Linked DNA regions of Zea mays. The protein of the gene in region 1 interacts with the protein of each later gene in a biochemical or structural test. Links are inferred from orthologs where the notes say so. Each region holds a gene or a part of one and is shown in the gene's direction. Other genes may lie near its edges. The genes, in order: Probable protein NAP1-like and Protein PIR.

Region 1 (12,108 bases):
CTACGGCAAAGGCTTTGCAGCGTTGGAGTGATAATAAAGTGGGGGATTTAAAACTACAGCTTGAAATGGCTCGGGAGCTCCTTCATAGGCTGGAGATGGCTCATGACAGCAGAACTCTATCTCCAAGTGAGGATTGGTTAAGGCGTACCCTTAAGAAGCACATCTTGGTGCTCTCCTCCTTGTCGAGATCTATAGCCCGTCTTCGGTCCAGAATTAATTGGTTGAAAGAAGGGGACGCTCATACTTCCCTGTTCCATGCTCAGGCTAGATTAAGAAAGAAGAAGAATTTTATTGGTTCATTATCTACAAGTGAAGGGCTTATTTTGACATCACATGAGGATAAGGCTGATGATTTGTTCTATTTCTATGATGACTTGCTCGGGACTGCTTTGGGGAGAGAAAATTCTCTTAATCTTGATGCCCTTGGGATGCCTTCTTTCAATCTCAATGAGCTAGATGTGCCTTTCTCAGAGGAAGAAGTTTGGGGTACTGTAAAATCTTTGCCGTCGGATAAAGCTCCGGGCCCGGATGGTTTCACCGGTCGTTTCTACAAGGTTTGTTGGGTAACAATCAAAGCTGATGTTATGGCAGCGATCTCTTGTGTTTGGGCTCGAAAATTTAGAAACATGGGGCTGCTCAATTCAGCGTTTATCACTCTTTTGCCTAAGGTTGAGGGTGCAGCCCAAGTGAAAGATTTTCGTCCAATCAGCCTTGTCCATAGTTTCGCAAAGTTAGTAACAAAGATGATGGCCAACAGATTGGCTCGGCATTTGAATGATATGGTTTCTCCGAATCAAACAGCGTTCATTAAGAAAAAATTTATCTTAGACAATTTCATGCTTGTGCAGCACACTGCAAGGTTTCTTCATAGTCAAAGGCAAGCCCACATTCTTTTCAAGCTCGACATTTCTAAGGCTTTTGATTCGGTTTCTTGGGCTTTCTTGTTGGAAGTCTTGCAGAAGTTGGGTTTTGGGCAGATCTGGCGTGACATCATTTGCGGGCTGTTAGCCTCTTCTTCGACGAGAATTTTATTAAATGGTGTTCCCGGGGACTACATTGCTCACCAGCGGGGTCTTCGGCAGGGGGACCCTTTATCTCCAATGCTGTTCATCTTAGTCATGGACACTCTCAACTTGCTTATCCAGAGGGCCTCTGATGAAGGGCTGCTTCACCCTCTTTCCACGAACAGTTTGCAGCACCGATTCTCTTTGTACGCGGATGATGCGGTGGTTTTCCTCAAGCCGGTGCCTTCAGACATTACTCTGATTCTGGAAATCCTTCGGATTTTTGGGGATGCGTCCGGTCTAAAGACCAACGTTCAGAAGAGTAATGTTTTTCCTATTCGATGTTCTGAGGCGGATCTTGCTTGTGTTCAGGAGCTCCTTCCATGTTCCATTTCGGAGTTTCCACTGTCAGTACCTTGGCCTCCCGCTTTCTCTTGGAAAGCTTAGGAGAAGTCAAATTCAAGCAATTGTCGATAAAACTGCAGCACAGTTACCTGGGTGGAAAGCTGATCTGATGACAAAGGCTGGTAGAGCCATTTATGTTCAATTTGTGATGACATCAAGAATGATTTATGCTGCTCTGGCGTTGGACCTCCCTTCTTGGGCTATTAAAGCAATCGATAAGCTTAGACGAGGCTTTCTGTGGAGAGGGAGGAAGGAGGTGAATGGTGGCCATTGTCTGCTGACTTGGCCCAAAGTCACTAGACCCAAGGACCTGGGGGGTCTGGGTATAAGTGACCTTCGGATCATGAGCTGGGCGCTGCGGGCTAGGTGGCCTTGGCTGCAAAAATCTGATAGGACTAAGCCATGGTCGGACTTTCAGATTCAAACTTGCGACATTGTGCAAAGCTTGTTGGCTGCGGCTGTTATCACTCATTTGGGAGATGGATCTGATACTTTGTTTTGGAAGGATCGTTGGCTGAATGGCAAATGTATTAAGGAGGTGGCACCTGCTGTCTTGGGTATGGTGCCCAAGCGTATTGCTTCTAGGCGCCTGGTCAAGGATGCCTTGCCTGATCTCAATTGGTTGGCTGATCTGAGAGGGGCTATGTCTGTTACAGCCCTTGCTAATCTCATGGACCTTTGTGACTTGCTCGAGGGGATGGTTCTTCAGCCGGATGTTCCTGATGTGCATGCCTGGAGGTTCAGTGAATCGGGTGAATACTCGGCTAGTTCAGCTTACAGGGCTTTGCTTCTTGGCTCTGTTAGCTTTGAGCCTGCTGAACGCATTTGGAAATCCTGGGCTCCAGGAAAGTGTAAATTCTTCCTCTGGCTTGTGGAGCACGATAGATGTTGGACGGCTGACAGACTTGCTAAGCGTGGCCTGGATCACCCGGAGTCTTGCCCTTTATGCGACCAGATGGAAGAAACTATCAACCATTTGCTGGTTCAGTGCAGTTTTGCAAAACAGTTTTGGTTCAGCCTTCTGCGGTCAGGTGATTTCCAGGAGCTCTGCCCTTCCCATGATGACGTCTGTTTTGAAACCTGGTGGAGGATTAGTGCTGCCAGGGTGGGCAAGCCTTTATCCAAGGGATTCAATTCTCTTGTCATTTTGGGTGCATGGTCTTTGTGGAAGCATAGAAATAGGTGTGTTTTTGATAATTGTAACCCTAGCGCTGCGGTGGTGTTGGCAGCTGCAAGGGAGGAGTTGATGGGTTGGAGTATGGCTGGAGCCAAAGCGCTCTCTTTCTTCCATTTAGAAGAGGTGTCTTAGGTGTCTTAGTTGTTTGGGGGGTGTTTTTTGGTTTTGGTTTGCCAAATGTAACACCTTTGTACCGGGGTTTTTTCTCCCCATTTTATTCTTCTTCTTAATACAAAAATACGCAGCTCTCCTGCGTATTCAAGAAAAAAAAACAGCATCTGACTTATATTTTCTACTAAATTGTTTTTTTTTGGTGCTTCGACTGTAATATTTTGTCCTCAGGTCCTGGAAGCTGTTGGCCCAATTATATTTCTTTCAACTGATACAAAAAAGTTAAGGAACGAAGGTTTCCTCAGTCCATTTCATCCACGTTATCCAGACATCCTAACAAATTCTGCCCATCCAATGGTTAGTACCTTTCACTGTTAGAGATGATAAATCATGAGAGCATAAATGTCTGTCCATTATTCTGCCAATACCATGATAACAATGTATTGTAATTTAGAGATTTAACCTGATTCTGTTTCCTCCCAGAGGGCCCAAGACTTGGCTAATGTCACATCATACCGTGAGTGGGTTCTTCTAGGATATCTTGTTTGTCCTGATGAACTACTTAGGGTGACCAGTATAGATGTTGCCATGGTATGCCCTATGTCTTTGTTTGTCAGTTTCTACTCTCTTTTCCTGAATAGCTAATAATTTATGGTGTATATAATGGTTTTAGTGTTGCACTTACATCAACCAAAATAGTGGCACATGCATCGTGTTTTCTCACTCCATTTTATCATAATAAGTCTTGTGTTGGTATCTGGTAAGCCTCCGTTTGGTGCTATGGTTGGCTTTTTAAAAGCATTCATTTATTTCTATTTTTAGATGGATTTGGTTGAAGACATCTTTCATGAATCAGTTACAAGAAACTGTACTAGAATTAGTAAAGATTCACCAAACTAGATTCCTCAGTGCAACCAGCATGTCATCTGTGATTTAGCCTTGATCTGTTTCTTCTTGGTCACTTTCAGGTTGTTCTGAAAGAGAACTTAATACTTCCTCTGTTCAGAGATGAGGTAAAATTAAAGACATGTGGCAGCAAGATTAATTCTTTGGTGTCACTATTCACTATTCTAATTTGTTTTTTTTTTCATTTTTTGTGTAGTACATCTTACTTCATGAAAATTATCAACTTTATGTTCTTCCAAAAGTTCTAGAATCGAAGAGAATGGCTAAATCTGGCCGAACTAAGCAAAAGGAAGCTGATCTGGAGTACAATGTTGCAAAGCAGGTTGAGAGAATGTTAACGTATGTCCTGCACAGTCATTGTATATATACTTTTCTCTATGCTCCAGAATAGCTTGTAATGTGAAGATGGTTCTGTTCCACAAGTTTGAGTTATTTACCTTATATTTTGATTATTGTTTTTGAAATCTTTCTGCATATTCACTTCTTTTGGGATTTGCCACTAGTTCAGATAGCCTATTCTTGGTTGGTTCTTTTGGCTTCATAACTCGGGAACTATTTTACCTAGCATTTTACCCTTCTGGTTTCATTACTTTTAATTTGTTCTTTTTTATTTTATCTACTTGGCATCATTCTTCAGATGTTTGTTAATGGTTTGTGTTAACTCTCTACAGGGAAGTGCATGAGCAAGCACTGGTGTCATGTGATGCTATGCATCGTGAGAGGAGAATTCTTCTTAAGCAGGAAATTGGAAGGATGGTTTTATTTTTCACTGATCAACCTAGCCTCCTAGCACCTAATATTCAGGTTTGGCCCCAAGTATTCTTTTTTTTTCTCGAACTACGCAGGAGAGATGTGTGTCATTTCATTAAGATAGAAAAGAGCACCAAGATGAGGCTAAAACAGCCTCACCCAAATACAAGAGCACATCTTAAGATGTGCCACGCTCACTGGATAGAATAATAGATACATGACCAGAACCACACCTAACCTATGCTTTTTGGGCCAGCGACCTAGCGCGGAGCTTTTGGAGATTGGAAGCTCTGGCCATGTACCAAAGAGTACACTCATCACCCACACTCTGAAGGACTGCCAATATGAGGAGCAGAACCCTCAAAGACACATCGGTTGTGATGCTTCCAAACTGCCCTAGATACACATCGGTTCAGATCCCTATGAACAGCATTGAGAGTAGTTCTCCACCAACTAGAGAACTTATGAGAAGTGCTCAAAGGAGCTGCAGCAGCCAGACCAATCCTCTGAAAAATTGAGGCCCAGACCTGCCAAGTGAAGACAGGAGGTTAAAACATGTTGAATTGTCTCTTCGGCCTGATCGTACAAGGGGCAGGAAGATGGATGGGGTAAGCCCGTCTTAGAGAGGTGATCCGCTGTCCAACACCTGTTGTTGTTGTTGATGGCGAGCCAAATGAAGAATCTGGACCACAGGGTGCCCAAATAATTTTCCAGGGTACGAATTTAATGGTTCCCACAAAGAAGGCATTGCAGGCTTATTTGCTAGAGTAGTGGCCTGACTGAGTAAGTTTCCAGCGGGACTGATCTTGGGCATTGGTTTGAAGCATCACATTGTCCAAATCAGCAAGTATTTGACTAGGACTTCAACTGAAAGCCCCCCTCCCCCAAAATAATAATAATAATGCCAGCTATCCATGCACGGTTATTCAGAGCTTGGGCCACCGTCCTCTTGATAAGCCCCTTTGGGACAGCCTTAACTAAATTAGGAGCCAATTCTGAGATTTTCTTCCCCTGTACCCATCTATGATTCCAGAATTTTATATTCTCTCCATTACCCTCTAAGGAATCTACGGCAATATGAAAGAGGGATCATGCCTTTAGGGGGACTTGGAGCTGTAGTCCAGCCCATGGCCTAGCATGATCAGTTTTCTCTGCCCACAGCCAAAGGATGCACAGAGCACAGCACATAGTCTCCAAATTATGAATCCCCCCCCAATATCGCAATGGGCGTTGGACATGGACTCGCTCCCAAGAAATCAGACAGCTCCCTCCATTGGCACTCTCTTGAGTCTTGACCTTTCCAAAGGAAACCCCTGCCGTTTATCAATGGCTTTGACTACTCATTTAGGAAGCTCGATGACAATAGCATTAGCATGATAGATGGTACTATGGTAGAAGCAGTTAGAACCACCTTGACCATAGTGAGGCACCCTGCTCTGTTCATCAGGGAGGCCTTCCAACCTGGAAGTTGATCAGCCACCTTGTTCACCAAAGGAAGGTCAGTCTTAGAAGCTTTGTGGACGGTGAGAGGGGGGGGGGTCAAGATACTTGCAGGGGAAGTCCTTCACAGAGCAAGCCAGATTGCCAGAATATCAGAGGTCTGCTGCAAATGTTCCTTTTGCTTGACCACCAGAATATCAAAGCTTTGTAGATGGCGAGATGGAAAACTTTGTAGATGATCACCAGGAGGGGGAGGGGAACATGGGCTGCCTGGTGGGCTGGGCCAGCCCACTTCTTACTCTGTTCCTTTTCTTTTTTCTCTTCATCATCTGCTGCTCTAAGCTGCTGTTTTAAATTTTCCTTAAATTCTTAAGGTGTCAGTGTCACCTCACCTCACACTTTAGTCGCTTAAGTGTAAGGTATAGTCAGTCACCACATCACCTTACCGCCTTGATAACCATGATAAAAGATGTACCCCACCGTATGGTTCTACCGGTTATTCTGGGGTACCAGACATATTAGACTTCTTGTTTCCGTTTACACTCGTAAACAATTCAACTTTATGTAAGGCAACTTATCTGTATATAGTATCTTTTTTGAGAAAAATATAGTATATTGCGCTATATATTTCATATTTATATTATTAATAATCAAAAGAGGGGGTAATTCACAATAAAGAGAAAATAAATGCAGAAATGATTACTTTGGATTTACTAGCTAGTAGCTCTACTGATGGATTGCCAGAGAATACTTCTCTGTTTAGCCGTTCATCGAACGTATTGCTCAGAGACTCCGTGGTTGGAAAGGGAAGTGGCTAAACAGAGTTGGTCGTCTCACTCTTGTCTCAACAATCCTCTCTTCCATACCAACCTATCATCTGACGGTGTTCCTGCTCGCGGTCTGGGCCCGTAAGCGAATCGACAGAATCAGAAGATCCTTCCTTTGGAAAGGAGAAGAAAACGCCAACGGGGGTCACTGTTTAGTGAATTGGGCAACGGTCACAAGACCGAAGGACTTTGGCGGGTTAGGGATTCTAGACCATGATAAATTTGGCAGGGCTTTACACCTTCGTTGGTTGTGGCAGGAATGGGTGGATGATACCAAACCTTAGGTTGGCATGGATACCCCGGCGGACGACACTGATCGAGCACTTTTCACTGCCTCAACAAGGGTCGTCGTTGGAGATGGCCACAAATGTCGTTTTTGGCATTGTTGGAACCGGATCGCCGACACATGGCGTGTCCGTTGGACCGCCCGCACATACGGCGCGCCCACCCAGGCCGTCGGGTCGCGACACACACGCTCACACGCATAGCAGCGGGCTTTAGGTCTCTTGGGTCAACACTCCCCAAAAGCTAGCCCGTTAGGGTGTTGCACCCTCAACCATATAAACCATGCTTGCACACCCTCATCACACAATGTGGGACTATTCCCAACAGGCATGACGCTTGGCTTGATGGAGAGGCGCCATACCGCTTAGCTCCTAACCTATTTGCGATGTCTAGGACAAAAAACGGATCAGTCCACATGGAGCTCCGGGATAATCACTGGATCAACGCGATGTGAGGCTAAATCACCATTGCAATCCAGATACAGGAGTTCATCTCACTTTGGATCAGAACCTAGGACACCCACCTTACACCAGCCATGAGGGACTGCATACTCTGGAGATGGACGGCAGATGGAACATACTCCGCTCGCTCATCATATCGTATCCAGTTTAGAGGCTCCTTCGGGCTGTTCCGGTCCAACCTAATCTGGAGAGTACATGCCAAAAACAAGTGCAAGGTTTTCGCATGGACAATGACAATGGAAAAAGTTCTCACCGCGGCCAATTTACAAAAAAGGATCTGGCCTCACCAAGATCACTGCGCTCTATGTAATAGGCCACTGGAAACTTGTATCCATTTGGCATTGCTTTGCCCTTTCGCCAAATCTGTTTGGAGATTCACCTTGGCTTGGGGGCATTTCGATGAAAATCTAGTCATTCCGTCAGAGGAGCCTACCAAGCTGACCCGGTGGTGGGAGGTATCCCAAGCCAAGATTCCGATAGGTGAAAGAAGGCGATTCAACGGAGTAGTGATTTACACTATTTGGAACATCTGGAAAGAACGGAACAGAAGGTTCTTCACCGGTGCTTTTGAAACGGCAGTGCAAGTTGCCTCTAGAGCAAAGCAGGACATCGAGCAACAAAGAAGGGCCTTAACTTGGAAGGTATAGAGTTGTAGATTCTCTTTGGTTCTTTTGCACCTTCGTGGTGTCTGGAATGATGTTAGTAGGGTGTTCCTTCGTTTTTTAAGCATGTACATAACCTCTTCCCTATCTTAATTGAAAGGCAGAGCTCCTGCCAGTTTTTCACAAAAAAATTATTTCTCTGTTCAATAAAGATAACCTTGGCAGATTCCATGAGCCTTGATTAGGCTCTATCTATATACTTTCAAAGATCTTCATGACTTCATATTGAGGGAAGCACCTTAGATCATGTTATTCCACAATTGATGTAATAATGCTGGTACATTGTGCAGATGGTTTTTTCTGCTCTTGCTTTGTCTCAATGCGAGGTGATTTGGTACTTCCAACATGTGGGGATTGCATCATCAAAATCTACTCGGTTGAAAACTGTTGACATTGTGAGTTACTCCGCAATTATTTTTTCCTTGGATTCAATAAGTCGTTGTTCCAGTATTCTATTGCTTTCTAAAAGCAGAGGTTTCTTGTCATCTCAAAAAAGAAATGTTGTTCCCTTCCATACTAATTGTTGACTGAACTTTCAGGATGCGACAGACCCAACTATTGGTTTCTTACTAGATGGAATAGGCAAACTTTGTTGCCTGGTTCGTAAATACATAGCAGGTTCTTCCAAACCTGTTGCTTTATTTGAGTGTTTCTTTTAATATTTTTCCTTGTCTAGTCCTAGCCGTGCCTTATAAAGTTATAAGGCAGTCATTGTGAGTAAAATACCTTATTATGATGTTGAGGTCAGAACAAGTGAACAAGTTGTAGCTGGCATGCCATTTTGGTGGCCCATTCTGGGCTAGTTAATGTTTGCTTAGTTCATGTTGCAAGCACTACCTTAGAATATAGCATATTAGATTCAACTGGTAGGATTGTATTCATTAATATATGTTGAGTAAATTTTTCATTCATGCCTTAAGAAGATTATGTTTTTCAGTGCTGAATTTATATACTGATGCACATCTCTTTGTTTTTGGACAAATAAAGTATTATACAAAAAAAACTTAAGTTTGTCCTAAAGTAGCAGTGTTGATTTTTTTTCATTTTTATCAAATGATACCTTTTCCTCTTTGCAGCAATAAAAGGTTATGCCTTATCATATTTGTTATCCAGTGCTGGAAGAATACGGTTCTTACTTGGTACTCCAGGAATGGTTGCTCTTGACCTAGATGCGACACTGAAAGGCCTTTTTCAGCAAGTCCTCCATTGTCTGGAGAACATTCCAAAACCTCAGGGGGAAAGTGTTCCTGACATTACCGCTGACTTGGCTGTAAGTTATCAACCTAATATCATATACAGAATTCTCACTGACCTATGAAGATAGACCTAATTTTCCTACAACTTCTGCATTCTTGTTGTTAATACAATTTTCTATGCCCAGTAATGTGTAGATTGATGCAAAGGTTTTCCTGTTGATCCACACAACATTATACAATTTCTGTTCAAATTTCTTGTGCATAATTTCCAGCACTCAGGCTTTCCCTCTCAAAACTGTTTCATTTGAGCAGTAGTACATGTTATAAGTCTACATGTAGATAACTGCAGTTCTAATATTTATCAAGATTCTAGATTGCAAGGTAGTTTTGAATACTTTTTAATGGCGTTGTTGAAAAATAAAGTTCTAGATGTTGACGATAATATATTTGCTTTACTGCCAGAGTATTTTTGTTGATAAAGAAGTGCTCACTATGCTTCTCCTCAAACTCATTATAATTGTGGTTTATTGAATGTTATCTCACCCCTTTTCTGTGTATTGACAATTTTATGATTTTTAATCATGTTGAAAGCTGTTAATCTAAGCACCATATTCTGTTGCTTGTTGAAACTTGAAAGGTTCACACATTGGTTTTCTTTTACATTGCCGATTGCATTAGCCAGTGAGAAGTATGGCACCAACTGTGTATTTAATTCTGTATGCTTAGTCTTCCATTTAATTTTGCATTTTGAACTGTTCAAACCTGATATGCTACAGGATTTGCGTAAGCACTGGCTGTCAATCTTGATGATAGTCACATCTTCACGATCCTCGATAAACATTAAGCACTTGGAGAAGGCTACTGTGTCTACTGGGAAGGAGGGTTTGGTGTCAGAAGGCAATGCTGCATATAATTGGTCAAGGTGATTGATAATCTGCTTTAATTTGAGTTAGCTTAGCTAGATTTTTTAACTCTTTTTGCCTGCCAATATTTTCTGAAAGGATCATGATTTGCAAAATGGTATCCTATGTGTCAATGGCATGTGGCCTCAGGCCCAATCATGTGATGGCAATTTCCCATTGTGCGCCTTTGCTGTGGTTAGTGTGGTATTAAGTGAACTCCAGCTTCTGTAAAGTGCTTAATCTTAATTAGGCCAACATAAATAAACGGCTCTATTGCATGCTCCTATTTTCTCTCTCGAATGAGGCAGGAGAGCTGCATCATGTCATTTCACTAAGGTAGAAGAAACAGAACAAAAACATGAGGGGAAAGCTTGGAGCCCCCCCCCCCCCCCCCCACCCACACACACACACCAGTAAACACGGCACACAAACAAGTAACACGACCACTACAGGACAGCTCAAGCGTTCAGCCTCCGCGCCCTACCGAGCAGCTTGTGAAGCGCCGTGTTTCTGGCTAAACAGCAGAGCTTGGGCTCCTTCTCCACTTCCTGGCAAACTCTGGAGACACTAGAACTAATACCCTCAAACACACGTGTTCCTACGCTTCCACAGAACCAAGCGACAAGAATGATTAGAGAGTAAGTCTTTTCCTTGTCTCCTTAGGTACCTTGCTGGCTACCAAGCTGAAAAAGAACACATCAGGTTGGGGGGCGATGACCGGCAATCTAACAAAAAGAAGAATTTTGGTCCAAATCTCCCGGGAGAAGACACATGAAACTAGAATGTGCTGAATTGACTCCTCTTCCTGGTCACAAAGAGAGCAAACACTAGGATGTGTCTGTCTGTGCCTAGATAAGTGGCACGCTGTTCAACATCTATTCTTCATTGCCAACCATAAGAACTTGCACTGAAGCGGGGCCCAAGATTTCCAAATCCTCTTCCAAGGTGTAAACTCAATAGATCCCAGGAAAAAAAAGAGTCGTATGCAGATTTACTTGTGTAAATGTAAAGCCCTCAATGGGTAAGCTTCCAAGTGTGCTGATCAATGGTAGATGGCTGAAAGGTAAAGTCATCGACCAATTCCCATAATTTCAAACATTTGATAATCACCTGGACCGTGAGGGCATCTTGGATGTCTGCAACCCATTTTCTAGTGTTCAAAGTTGGAGATACAGTTAGCTGCCTTTTTGCACTTTTAGGAATTATTTGAATAAGATTAGGAGCCAGATCAGCAACTGTACTACCGTGTAGCCACCGAGCAGTCCAAAATTTAGTATCCTCTCCACTTCCTTTTTCCATCAGCAAGCAAGATACCACAAGAAAAAGAATTTTATTGCAAAATTCCAGATGGGAGACCATTTTGTCACCACACAGGAAGAAAAGCATGAAACAGTTTTTTATTTCTATGAGAATCTCCTTGGAACATGCTTCTAAAATTACACCTTGTTTTATACCATCTATTTTATACTACTCATGGTCTAGTTTTCTTTCTTTGTCTGTTTTTTTTGGCCTTGTTTGGGCATTGTATTTGGTCCATTTTGGACTTCTCTTTCTCTTAATACAATGATGCGCACTCCTGCGCGTTTGAGAAAAAAATATTTTATACTACTACAAATATAGTTGGTAAATTAGAATAACTAAAGCAGTTGTTTATCATGCATCCATCTGCATAGCTCTTGTTCTCTGTTATTGTGCTTTTGGCAAGAACTGAAATACTTGAATTTGAATCAAAATTCTTTAAGGACCATTTGAATTTCACTAGAGTTAACATGTTCTGCAGATGTGTTGATGAACTTGAGAGCCAACTCTCCAAACATGGAAGCCTTAAAAAACTCTACTTTTATCATCAGCATCTTACCACGGTAAGTTTATATTTTGTTTATATTGCTGTATGATTTGCATGGTCCTTTAAATAATTTCTAAGTAACTAGACTTTTATGCTGATAGTAAGTACTTTTTTGCTGGGACCCACAGGTCTTCAG
Region 2 (12,767 bases), on another chromosome or scaffold:
GATATACATCAGTTGTTGATTATGAAATAAAGGTCTAATTGGGGTGATTAGGGTTGAAAGAGACCCGGCTCTTTGTGGGCGCCTCAACGAGGAAGTAGGGCACCTTTTGTGGTGTGACCGAACCTCGGGATAAATCTTGTGTCTCTTGCGTTCTTGCTCATTGTGTTTGTTCATGTTCTTCGTTCTCTCACCATTCCGTGGAAGATTGTTTATATCTTTTTGGTGTGTGGATTTTGAGAAGTGCCCTTCTCTGATCTACTACTTTGAACCCTGTGGATCATTTAGAACATCTCATTTCCAAAGTTAACTGGGTGAATTTCGAGATCAATTCAGTTTTACCCAGTTTGTTTCTAGTTTTTGTTGAAAAAGTTTTAACTTGCCTATTCACCCCCCCTCTAGGCAACTTTCACGTCCCATCCGGGGGCAGCGAGAGAACCCTCTCTCACGGCGTGAAGACGACGCGCCTGTGTTCCGTTCCTCGAACGGCCCGCGCACGCGCAACGTCCGCCCCGCGAACCACTCGCCCCATCGCATTAACTCCGCGGCGGGACAGGCGACGCCTCTGGAAGGAGAAGCGAGCGACGCTTCGCCTTCGCCATAATGAACGCGTCAAAAAAGGTACGCCATGTCATTCGATTTCGTATCCTTTTCCTTTTCCTCTTTCTCTCTCTTGCAACAGGGACCAGGAAAGGGGGATACCCCGAAAAGGATCCTTCCCCGTGAAGGAACCAGGCTCCGAGCCTCCCTACTGATAAGAGGTTCGAAGGCTGGCCCCTCAGAGGGGTTCAACAGCCGCCTCAGAGCGCGTGGGCTCCACACCCAATACTGGTCAGAGGTTCGAAGGCCGGCCCCTCGGAAGGGTTCAACGACCGCCTCAGGCTACTCGGGCTCCGCGCCCCCTACTGATCAGGGGTTCAAAGGCTGGCCCCCGAAGGGTTCACAGCCGCCTCAGACACAGAGCGAGGGATGACCATGGGTACGTTCGATACATAACCAAGGCTCGGGCTGCGCTCCCGAGGTACCCTAGGACATTTCCGAGACCAGTGGGGACGATCTTGTAACGGAATCCCATCAGAGGGAGGCATCGAGCCCTCGGACCCCGTCGACAGGGGACCGGGTCCGGCAGATCACCCGCAGGTACTTTTGGGCGCGCCTCTGGGCCTCTAGCCGACCCCTAGCAAATGGGGCACGGACGTCTGCTCGGATTACCCGCCAGCAGCTCACCGGAGACACCATGTTCGGCGCCCACCGAAGGCAACATGGCGCTTTCCCCCCTCCTTGCGGAAAGGCGACGCAGGGGCGTATGTAAAAAAGTCGAGTCCGTCCCTGATCGTCCTCTCGCCCTGTGCAGAGGCTCGGGGGCTGCTCTCGCAAACCCGGCTCCGGCCAAACCGTTGACAGCGTCAACATACCAGCCCGAGAACTTGGGACCCGACCGTGCACCCGGGCTACGACCAGCTCGCATGAGGGAACGACCAGACCAGCCGAAGCATTACGCGAGGCATTAAGGCCTCGGAGGAGTCAAACCACTCCTCCGAGGCCTCGGGGGCTACACCCGGCGGGTGCGCTCGCGCGCACCCACCGGAACAAAACGCAACCAAGAAAGGCTGGTCCCCTTGCAAAAAAGTGCGACGAAAGCCTCCAAGCGAGTGTTAACACTCCCTTCGAGGCTCGGGGGCTAATGTCGGGGACCATAATTAGGGATACCCTCAAGGCTCCTAATTCTCAGCTGGTAACCCCCATCAGCATAAAGCTGCAAAGGCCTGATGGGTGCGATTAAGTCAGGGATCGGTCCATTCGAGGGACTCGATCACGCCTCGCCCGAGCCTAGCCTCGGACAAGGGCAGCCGACCCCGGAGGATCTTCGTCTCGCCCGAGGCACCCCCTCCAGCGACGAACACATTTCCGGCTCGCCCGAGGCCCTGTCTTCGCTAAGAAGCAACCCTGACCAAATCGCCGCGCCTACTGACCAAATCGCAGGAGCATTTAATGCAAAGGTGGCCTGACACCATTATCTTGACGCGCGCCCTTCAGTCGACAAAGCCGAAGTGACCGCCGTCACTTCGCCGCTCCACTGACCGATCTGACAGAAGGACAGCGACGCCTGCGCCGCACCGACTGCAGTGCCACCTGACAGAGCGAGGCTGACAGGCAGTCAGGCCCGACCTCAGGCGCCATAGGAAGCTCCGCTCCGCCCGACCCAGGGCTCGGACTCGGGCTAAGCCCCGGAAGACGACGAACTCCGCTCCGCCCGACCCAGGGCTCGGACTCGGGCTAAGCCCCAGAAGACGGCGAACTCCGCTCCGCCCGACCCAGGGCTCGGACTTGGGCTCAGCCCCTGAAGACGGCGAACTCCGCTCCGCCCGACCCAGGGCTCGGACTTGGGCTCAGCCCCTGAAGACGGCGAACTCCGCTCCGCCCGACCCAGGGCTCGGACTCGGGCTCAGCCCTAGAAGACGACGAACTCCGCTTCGCCCGTCCCTAGGGCTCGGACTCAGCCCTGGCCTCAGCCGACGGTCTCCGCCTCGCCCGACCCAGGGGCTCGGACTCGACCACGGCCACGGAAGACAGACTCGACCTCGACCTCGGAGGAGCCTCCACATCGCCCAACCTAGGGCGCGAGCCGACCACGTCAATGGGAGGCGCCATCATTACCCTGCCCCAAGCTGACTCAGGCTACGGGGAACAAGACCGACGTCCCATCTGGCTCGCTCCGCCAGATAGGCAATGATGGCGCCCCGCACGCTCCCTGACGACGGCAGCTCTCCGCCCCCTTACGGAAGCAAGAGGACGTCAGCAAGGACTCGATAGCCCCGACAGCTGTCCCTCCGCCAGGCTCCAGCGCTCCTCCGACGGCCACGACATCACACCAACTGGGTGCCAAAACCTCTCCGGCTGCCACGACGGCGTGTACTTAGGGCACTAGCTCTCCTCCGCTAGACACGTAGCACTCTGCTGCACCTCCCATTGTACACCTGGATCCTCTCCTTACGCCTATAAAAGGAAGGACCAGGGCCCTCTTACAGAGGGTTGGCCGCGCGGGGACGAGGACGAGACAGGCGCTCGCGTGAGGCCGCTCGCTCCCTCTCCCGCGTGGACGCTTGTAACCCCCTACTGCAAGCGCACCCGACCTGGGCACGGGACGAACACGAAGGCCGCGAGATTTCCACCTCTCTCACGCCTGTCTCCGGCCACCTTTCTCCCCCCTTCGCGCTCGGCCTCGCGTCGACCCATCTGGGCTGGGGCACGCGACGACATTTCACTCGTCGGCCTAGAGACCCCCCGGTCTCGAAACGCCGACAACTGCGTCCACATAACCAGTCCCACACTAGCCTGGTCGGCCAGGTACGACCATTTCTGGCGTATGTGCAGATGCAGGTAAATGGACTCAGAATGACTTTTTTTGCATGCACTTGTGCAATCACCGTTTCTCGCGTACAGGTAACCAAACAGATGCTTAACCAAAGTGAACGCACGCGATGATTCAGGATGGAATGGTGTAGTTAACCAATCAGGTGGCTAGTGTCTCCCACTCATCCCATTAGGGCGTGAGTTTAAACCCCATCTCTTGGATCACTTTTTTATAGTTTACGCTGATTTAACCAAATGGATCGACGTGCTAACGGGCCGGCCTCGACACGGTCAACAGACCGATGTGCCGTGCCTAGGCCGGAGCTACGACCCGCGTGCGTCGGGCCGCCTATTTAGCCATTTATATGCGGAGGTGTGTTTTGAGGCGTGGAGGTTGGTTGCACGGAGGGGATAGGCCTGCAACGAGTTAATTTGAAATAGATGTGAGTGATTATTTGTAAATAGATGACGCAGAAAGACCGTTGAAACTGATGTTTTAATATAGTAGAGATAAAAATAGGAAATTGTATCGTTTTTAATCCTTTATATTAGATATAATACTTTTTTTATATCTCTTAATTTTATATTTTTTATAACGTTTGATAGTTTGATTGAACGGTGATTATACAGAAAACTTGATTGTATAACAGTTTTTGTTAGATCATATCAATTAGATACTTGATGGTTTTAATCTTAGTTCAGATACAAGTCATACTGCTAGTTAATATCGGGGTAGTTCGTACAAATTATGATCTCCACATGTTTACCATTTCCTTGAGTATTCAGATTTGGACAAACTACCTCTCGATTTCGCATCAGACGATACCGGATGTTTTCTTATGATATTCCGAAAACTAAAATAAGGTCAAATCTGATTTGGTTGTTCTCTCGCCTAGAATGTGTTCTGATGAGGGCATGAGGCCCAATTTGGGACGATTCTCGCACGGCTCTAACAAACAGGCCCGGTAGTACACCGGCTCCGAAGGTCCGCAAGACCGCAATCATCCGGTAACTTACCTTTTCCTTTCCCATTTCACTTCGAGTACACTTCACGTCTCGTCTTCTTCGCCCCACTGGGTGTCTGGCCCACCGTTGCCACAGGTCACCCGGGGCAGTACGAGTTCCTTGTCTCTCCTTGACGGCCTCCTTGCTCAGCACGATCTCGGCTCCGTCTCTCTCTAGTCTCTACCAACGGTAGCACCATCTCGCTCCCACTCCCAACCACTCCGCCACCACCGCTCTCCTGCGCCTGCGTCCGCGCCTCCTCCCTGCGGCCCCGGCCGCACCGGCGACATGGCCATCCCCGTTGAGGAGGCCATCGCCGCCCTCTCCACCTTCTCGCTCGAGGTACGCACGCCCGGCCCCTCCTCGCGGTCCCCGTTCCCGCCCAGCCGCCCTAGCCTCAATTTCGCACCTGATCTGCGCGTCCTCGCAATCCATAGGCGAAATGCAGCATTGCGCGTTTTGGTCCGGGTAGCTTACGAGTTCATTTGCTTGCTCGTGCTCAAAGCTGGAATGCTAGGTGAAGTGGGAATTTAGGGATTTCGGTACCAAAAATTGGCTTAGCGCAAAATCCACCTGGAACGCTATGGAAGTGTTGTGGCGTGAGAATAAAATAGAGGGTATCCACCGGATGTTTTCTTGTGATATTCCGAAAACTAAAACAAGAGCTCTATGAGCACAGGATACGTTCCCTTTGCTAATACCCAACCATACTCAAAATGCCAGGCATGTACGGTGTGCTTTAAATGCACTGATAGGTGAAATGTAGAAGGATGTCATAGAAATTTGCAATACCTGCCAACTCTAGTATATTAGGTGCACTCCAGTGGTTCAAATTGTATTATAGTGAAGTTTTGATTTGATGGTTCTCTGGACTGATTGAGAGATGTTGACATTCCCACTTGTAGTCTGTTTGGTTCTGTGATTGGTATCCTGTAGTATGTGCCATTCATTCTTCTTTGTATCAGAATGCATGTGTTGTGTTTGCTGTTGTCACTTTTCAAATTATTTAGCTATATTCCAAATTTCAGGATGAGCAACCGGATGTGCAGGGGTTAGCTGTGCTCCTGTCTAGTGAAAGATATGCGACTAACAGTCCTATTGGTATGCGACAAACATAACATTGCCTTTTATACTGTTAGTTTTAAGTACATTAGTGATTATTCTACATGGCTGTGATGGTGATGCTATAGGCTGATGCCTATACTGCACATATATTTCTTCCTTATTATACTATCCAAGAAAAACTTTGATACTTGAATTAATATTAAGTGTTGCCACAGTTTCTTACTGCTCCATTGTCGATTGAAATTTGTAATTTCGTGTTCAGAGTACAGCGATGTTGCTGCTTATCGTCTATCACTAGGAGAAGATACAAAAGCAATCAACCAGCTGGTATGTAGTTCCTCTTTTTCTCTGTGATTGGTTGATTGCATTGCACGTCCTCTCTGCTTCAATACCCATAAACATTTTGATCCCTGTTTGAGAATTGATGTCTTTAAGAGATGTCCATGTGAACCAGTGTTTTCAAGTCGGTAAGTCGAGTCGACAAGGTACCGACTTGGTGACTAGTCGATAAGTCAGTCGACTAGTCGTCGACTTGCCAATATAGTGGCTGTTTTGCCTATATAATGGCTTCATATAGACAATATATCAATATCAATTATATATGAAGAAAGAGGATGTTTTACCTTTTTGAAGTCTGAAATTGAACGAAACTGAAATAAACAGCAAGTCTTACCTCATTTGAAGCCTCAAACTGAACCAAATCAGCCACATAAGTGATAAGTCATAAACTCATAAGTCATAACAGCCATATAGTTCAAATTGGAAAACAAATAGCAAGAAAATATAGTTTAAACTTGAAAGGAAATAAACTCCATTAGATAGCTAAGCTGCTGCAGCAGCTAGATAGATACTAGATACCCTAAATATCTCCCAAATCAAGATCATCCATTGCATTTTCTTCACCACCAGCACCAGCTTGAGTTGGACTGTTATGTGGGGATTCACCAAAGTCATCCACTTCTTCATCATCATTAGGCATGTACTCTTCATCATCTTGTTCATTGCCCTCGTTGCCTTGCTCTTCCTCTTCCATAACTCTCTCCTCCTGTGTAGCAGCAGCTTGACAACGCCTTGAATAAACAGACTCATATCGGGCTCTTCTTGGGAAGTTGCGACCTTGAAGTGAACTAGAAGCACCGATTGCATCATCCACATGAGCCCATGCAAGATCATCCCCTTCTCTAACTGTTTCATTTTGACTGTCCACCCACTCATTGTCCCATTGGAAATCCTCTAAAATTAAAGGGTTACCAATATTTCCCTCCCCACGCAATCTTTGGAACCTAGCTGCCATCTTTCTATTGTATTGGATATAAACCAAATTGTTTAACCTTTGGTGCTCCAATCTGTTCCTTTTTTTGGTATGAATCTATGTGTTAAATAATGAATCAGTGCTGCTGTCCTAGAATCAATTAAAACAAGATAGAAACTGAAATGACAATTTTTTACTTACAAATTCAAAAGTGCTCCAATTGCGCTCACATCCGGAAGCAGAACAACAAAGGCTAACAATGCGCTTTGCAAAGGATTGAATCTCAAATGCAAGGCCACCATATGCATCCCACCAACGAACTAAAAAAAGAGAAGAGAAGTTGAATTAGTGTTGCCAGCCATACAAAACTTAAATGATTAATGAGGTAATAGAACTTACTGGGGCTCTTTTTGTTGTTGTTCTCTAATTGCTAATGGCGATGAGAAGGCAGGGCCAGCCATACTCATATACTCATCAGCTTGTTTACTGATTATAGCTTGAAGGTCATAGTCGTCAACCATCTTCCATAGCACCTCATTGAATGCTGCCCTCAGCCTACCAATCTCCCTTTTTGTTGGATCATTTTTTTGAAGTTCAAAGAACTTATTTGGATTTAAAACAATGCAGCCCCATACAACTTCACCTCCATTTGATCTTGCCACCTCCGATTAATAATGGCAAGCAACTTCCTCTTCATTGCCTCTCTACCTTCAAAACCCGAAGTGATCTTTGCTTTTGCCATATCCATGGCAGCGGCAACCTCTGGCATGGCTGGCTTTTCATCACCATCAACAATTCGCAACACAATGAGGAGTGGTTGTGATGCACGAATACAATCTTGTACTGAGTTCCAAAAGTTTGTAGAAAGAAGTATCTCTGTGACCTTTCCTGCTTCTGTGCTTGATAGCTTGGACCTAGTCCAATCATCACTAACAAAGAGGCATCTCAAAGCTTGCTCAAGGTTTTAAAGTCGTCCGACTAATCGCGATTAGGCGCGATTAGTCGGCCTTATTGCTAGAGGGAGCTCGATTAGGGTCTCCGACTCGACTAGAGCGACTAGGAAGCGATTAGTCGTCCTAGTCGCCGACTAATCGCGATTAGTCGTCCGACTAGGTATAGTGGTCGACTAGTTTTGCCTGTTTTGGGCCACTAATCCGTTCTCTGTTACATGGGCCGACCCACCATCTGTACATCACAAACAATGTTTTGCCCTACTTGTATCAATACGGTACACACATTACGCAGCGCACAGTCGCGCTCGCGCGTGCACCCTTCTCCAGCGCCGCCGCACCTTCTCCAACGCCGCTGCCCTCCTCTCTTACCATCCTGCTGTGCTCTGGAAGCCCTCTGCTCGAGCGTCAGCTGCGCCCCGTCCATCACGCGGCGACTGTAGTCTGTAGAGCCCCCCTCCAGCGCTGTTTTGCAAAATATAAATAGCATATAGTATATGTATGTATGCAACACTATCTCTACTCTTTAAAACTTCCTCCACGATCATATGTATGTACTGAGGTCCGGACCGAAGAGAACTGATGTTCCGGAAGGTGCTGCCTCTGACGCTGATGCTTGTTATCACGATCTTCATCATCATCCGGGGAGGAAGGCGGAGGCTGTTCCTCAACCGACAAGGCACCCGAAATACCAACCTTCACAGAAACAGAGTAAATCAAAGTGCGAGGGAAACAAGATCCATCTTCTCCAATAGACGTCAGCTCTTCAACATGGAGATCACAGCGAGAAGGCAGACAATCCATAGAGAAACCCCATGCCTTCAGCGTCAGAATCGACATGTCCATCCCATCAACAGAATCCGGATGCAATCCTTGAACGATGCAGTGTCCACCGAGTAGATGCTCTGCCATATCAATCCCCCAGAGGTGTGCCGGAATCCCGCCAAGTTCAACATCTAGAAGTACCGGCAGGGCACCTCCACCAGTGGCCGACGCCTGGCGTGACCACCTCCTAAGATGCAACCGGAGGGGGGGGATGCAGATGGATTGTCCACAAGCCAAGGCACGAACAACGTGTTCCATAGAGGGGAAGAGGACCAGGTACGAGTTGGACGCAACACGTCGGATTTGGAGCGCATCAGCCTCAAGGCCATACTTCAAGGCAAGCACATCTAGAATCACAGCGGCGCAGTCAGAATCCCCCTGGCCAAGCACATTGACGATCAATGCACGATGAAAGTCCTCCTCCGCCTGGTCGAGCAACCTTGAACGCCTAAGGTTATGCGAACGAGGGGGGGGGGCACCACCGAAGGCAATGGTGATGATGCCAAAGATGAAACCCGACCAGATGCGCCCAAAACCTCCAGGTCCATTTTCCGGCGCCTTTGACCACAGCGAGTGCGCTTCATCGTCTTCTCTCCATCACCATCACCGCCGACCCGCGAACCACCGTCCATAGCGCAGAGAGGAACCTCCTCCGGGATGACCTTCCTGGAAACGGGACGCCACACCAACACCCTCGCTGGGTGATGTGGAGTCTTCTTCCGACGTGGACACGCGCGCACCCGATGCCCAGGCAGACGACAGTGAAAACACCGCACCAAACTGCCACACTCGGCCGCACGGTGGGAAGGTGAGAAGCAGTTGAAGCACCTCCCACGTAAATCAGCGGGAACGGGTCTAGGGGGTTGCGAGGGGAGAGGGGTACGGGGACTCCGATGGTGAAACCGGCGTCCCACAACCCTCACCCAGCCACCATTACCAACGTCAGCTCCGCATGCACTGGACCTTCCATCCACTAGCACCTCCTTATAGGAACGACGCGAATCACACTGACTCAGGGAAGCAGCAGATGGAAACTCATGTTCACACCATCGCTGTGCCTTTGAACGGCCACCAGGAAGAACCGTTAAAGACTGGGCGGTGAGAGAAGGAGAGGAGACCGACGCCGGGGTAGCAAGTGGGGTGGCCGCTGGCCTTTGGGAGGAGGACCGGCGTGAGGCTGTGGGGTGGAGGGGCTGAGGCGTCGGCCGGAGGTGGAAGGTCAGGGGCGGGAGCGGAAAGGACATACTGACGGGCCCTTTCCTGTCTCCATTCTGGATTGCCTCCTTCCCCTGCCAGAGCATGTAACACATACAAATTAATTAAATTGCACCCAAGCACACAGACATGAACTTCCTTCTATTTGGTAATCAATTCTTTGTGTATATGGGCTCATGTGTGTTACCTAATATCCTCCGTTGGTTTATTTTTCTCGAACACGCAGGAGATCTGCGTATCTTTCCATTAATAGATAGAAGAAGGTACAACACAACACAACACACACAACTCAACCCACACGACACAACAAGACACAACACAACCACCACACACCACTCTGAACAAGGCGCAAGGTTATCACCCTGGGTCAAGCATAAACACTAGAGTTGAAAGCAAGTTCAACCCTTTAGCTCCGGCACGACACCACATCCTAAGCTCATCACCAGCGAGGGTGAGAGCACTTGCTAGGCTCGGCGACCTCCCATTGAACACACAGTCGTTGCGATGACGCCAAAGGCTCCAAGCGCCAAGAATAACTAGAGAATTGAAGCCTGATTGGAGATCTCGGGGAATCTTCTCCACAACCCTGCTCCACCAGTCTTCTAAGCTGCAAAGAGCATTGTCTGGTGAAAGATTAGGCAACCCGGACCTGCGCAGCAAGAGGTACCAGAACTGTCTTGCAAAGACGCAAGAGATGAGAAGATGTTGTATTGTTTCCTCTTCTTGGTCGCAAAGTGGACACACACTGGGGTGGGGTAGTCCTCTTTTAGCAAGACGATCTGCGGTCCAACATCTATTGTGCATGGCAAGCCAAAGGAAGAAACTACACTTTGAAGGTGCTCAAGACTCCCAAACGCGCTCAAAGACTCCAAAAGAAGTGGATCCTAGGAATAGCATATATCATAAGCCGACTTTGAAGAGTATTGGCCGGACGAGGAAAACCTCCAGATATGCTTGTCTGGCACTCCATCACTAAGGGAGAAATCTGCAATAACTTCACTAAGAGTCAAAAAATCAGAGATGACAGCCCAAGTGATGGTGCCTCTCAGGTCCCGGATCCAAGCCATCTCCACAATTTCTTCTGCCACCGTTCTCCTGTTGGCAATCCTAGTCGGGACAAGGGCAAAAACATGAGGGGTTAGGTCCTCAATCCTCTGTCCCATCAACCATCTGTCCCTCCAAAATAAGGTGTTACGACCATCACCCACCTCTGTAATCATAGCTGTAGAGAGGATAGATTTCAGTATGCTGGAACTCTGGAGAGGTATATCAGCCCAAGACTTCGAGGGGTCTGTTTTTTCCAACCACAACCATCTTACCCGTAGGGCCCAATTCAGTTTTTGTAAATCAGAGATGCCAAGACCACCAAGCTCCTTTGATCGTGTCACTTTGCCCCAAGCAACTAAGCAGTGACCACCGAGCACATCCATTCGTCCTTTCCAAAGAAACCCACGTCTAATTTTGTCAATGGCTTTGATAGCCCATTTAGGTAAATCCAAAGCCATGGCGTGGTATATAACTGTTGCCGTGAGTACATATTGCACTTGGATAGCTCTTCCAGCCCTAGTCATCAAGTCGGCCTTCCAATTAGGTAAGAGGTCCGCAAGCCTATCAATTAGTGGCTGCAGCTGCTCCTTGTTTAACTTCCTGAGAGAGAGAGAGAGGTAGCCCGAGATATTTGAGAGGAAGTGTTTCAACTTTGCAAGGAAAAATGTGGGTCACCATTTCCATGTCCACCGGAAAGCAGTGAATGGGAGCCACACTGCTTTTCTGTACGTTGTTTTTTAGCCCCGAGGCGTCCCCAAACAAATCCAATATCATGGTTACCATGTGCAGATCACTGGCAGCCGGCCTCAAGAACATCACCACATCATCAACATAAAGCGATATTCGGTGCTGAATGGAACGAGTTGAAAGGGGTTGGAGCAGTCCCTCATCAGCAGCTTTAACAATTAGACCATTGAGAACATCCATAACAATGATGAAAAGAAGAGGGGATAGTGAGTCACCTTGCCGCAGGCCCCTCTTGTGTTGGATGTATTCTCCAGGCACTCCATTAAGCAAAATTTGGGTAGAGGAGGTCATAAGCAGCCCACTGATCACATCTCTCCATATAGGGCCGAATCCAACCTTTTCCAATACTTCAAGTAAGAAAGACCAAGACACCGAATCGAAGGCCTTGGAGATGTCCAGCGTGTCTGGCAGAACCTGGGATATACACACATGTATGTTCCGTAGGTTTATTGCCACTTGTGAACACTGTCTGTACCTTTTTTTTTTGTATTTTATGGTAAAGAATTTGACGTTCATCTGGGTCTCGAAGGTAGCCTTAATTGCTGCAAATATAGTTGGCAAGTGCCTTACTGCCTTTCATGAAATATAGGATGGGAGTTATTTCATGTTCCTACGGGAATGTAACTCTCCTTTGGAAGTTTTGAGTTCCAAATGGTCCCTATTTTGTCAGAAAAACTTTGTGGGGACCATTTGAAGGAACAAAGGTAAGCCTGGAAAGGATTTGAAGGTTTTGATCTGTCACCACACAGTGCTTTTCTGATTTTCTCATTTCATGATCTTATTTTAAGGTATATGCATGTCTCTCTCTCTCTCTCTAAATCATTGTCTTGTCCGTTTTATATAATCACACTATTTCATGCGTCACCAAATGAGATATGATTACTTTTTTTCCCCACTGTCTCATGGATGGAAAAAAATAAATTGCAGAATACACTGATCAAAGAAGGAAAAGAAATGACATCTTTGCTGTACACATACCGTAGCTGTGTAAAAGCTCTACCTCAGGTTAGCCTTAATCAACTTTCTCTGTCTACTGATTGTTGCATTATGCCATTATACTGTTATGTAAATAAACTTCTTACATGTTAGTTCTTGTAAGAATGTAATTAAGTAAACACATTTTTCTACCTTTTTCTGTTGCCGCTAGTCTATTATACCTTACAATGCCAGCTTTCTGTCATTAGATATGTGAAGTTATTCTACTTGCATACAACTACTCTCTTTTCCCAGCTTCCATGCCAATCATTCAAAATCTGCGTGACCGTTGATCAATTTAAATTTGTTGATTGAATCACATTCTCTGAAGGCGC

Evidence for each region.
Region 2: the proteins of Probable protein NAP1-like (region 1) and Protein PIR form a complex in vitro, tested with the Arabidopsis thaliana proteins (2 studies listed by BioGRID). The link is inferred for Zea mays from reciprocal best matches to the Arabidopsis thaliana genes GRL and PIR121.

The regions. Positions count from the first base shown.
Region 1 is NC_050105.1:1,529,635-1,541,742, reverse strand, and holds part of Probable protein NAP1-like, read left to right. Parts: intron 1-2,928; coding exon 2,929-3,054; intron 3,055-3,180; coding exon 3,181-3,288; intron 3,289-3,665; coding exon 3,666-3,710; intron 3,711-3,799; coding exon 3,800-3,942; intron 3,943-4,274; coding exon 4,275-4,407; intron 4,408-8,318; coding exon 8,319-8,423; intron 8,424-8,567; coding exon 8,568-8,646; intron 8,647-9,104; coding exon 9,105-9,298; intron 9,299-10,000; coding exon 10,001-10,146; intron 10,147-11,906; coding exon 11,907-11,988; intron 11,989-12,100; coding exon 12,101-12,108. UniProt on the Arabidopsis thaliana protein: Involved in regulation of actin and microtubule organization. Part of a WAVE complex that activates the Arp2/3 complex.
Region 2 is NC_050096.1:9,479,041-9,491,807, forward strand, and holds the start of Protein PIR, read left to right. Parts: upstream 1-4,532; 5' UTR 4,533-4,644; coding exon 4,645-4,698; intron 4,699-5,384; coding exon 5,385-5,457; intron 5,458-5,683; coding exon 5,684-5,748; intron 5,749-12,384; coding exon 12,385-12,462; intron 12,463-12,767. UniProt on the Arabidopsis thaliana protein: Involved in regulation of actin and microtubule organization. Part of a WAVE complex that activates the ARP2/3 complex. Interacts with the active form of RHO-family GTPases.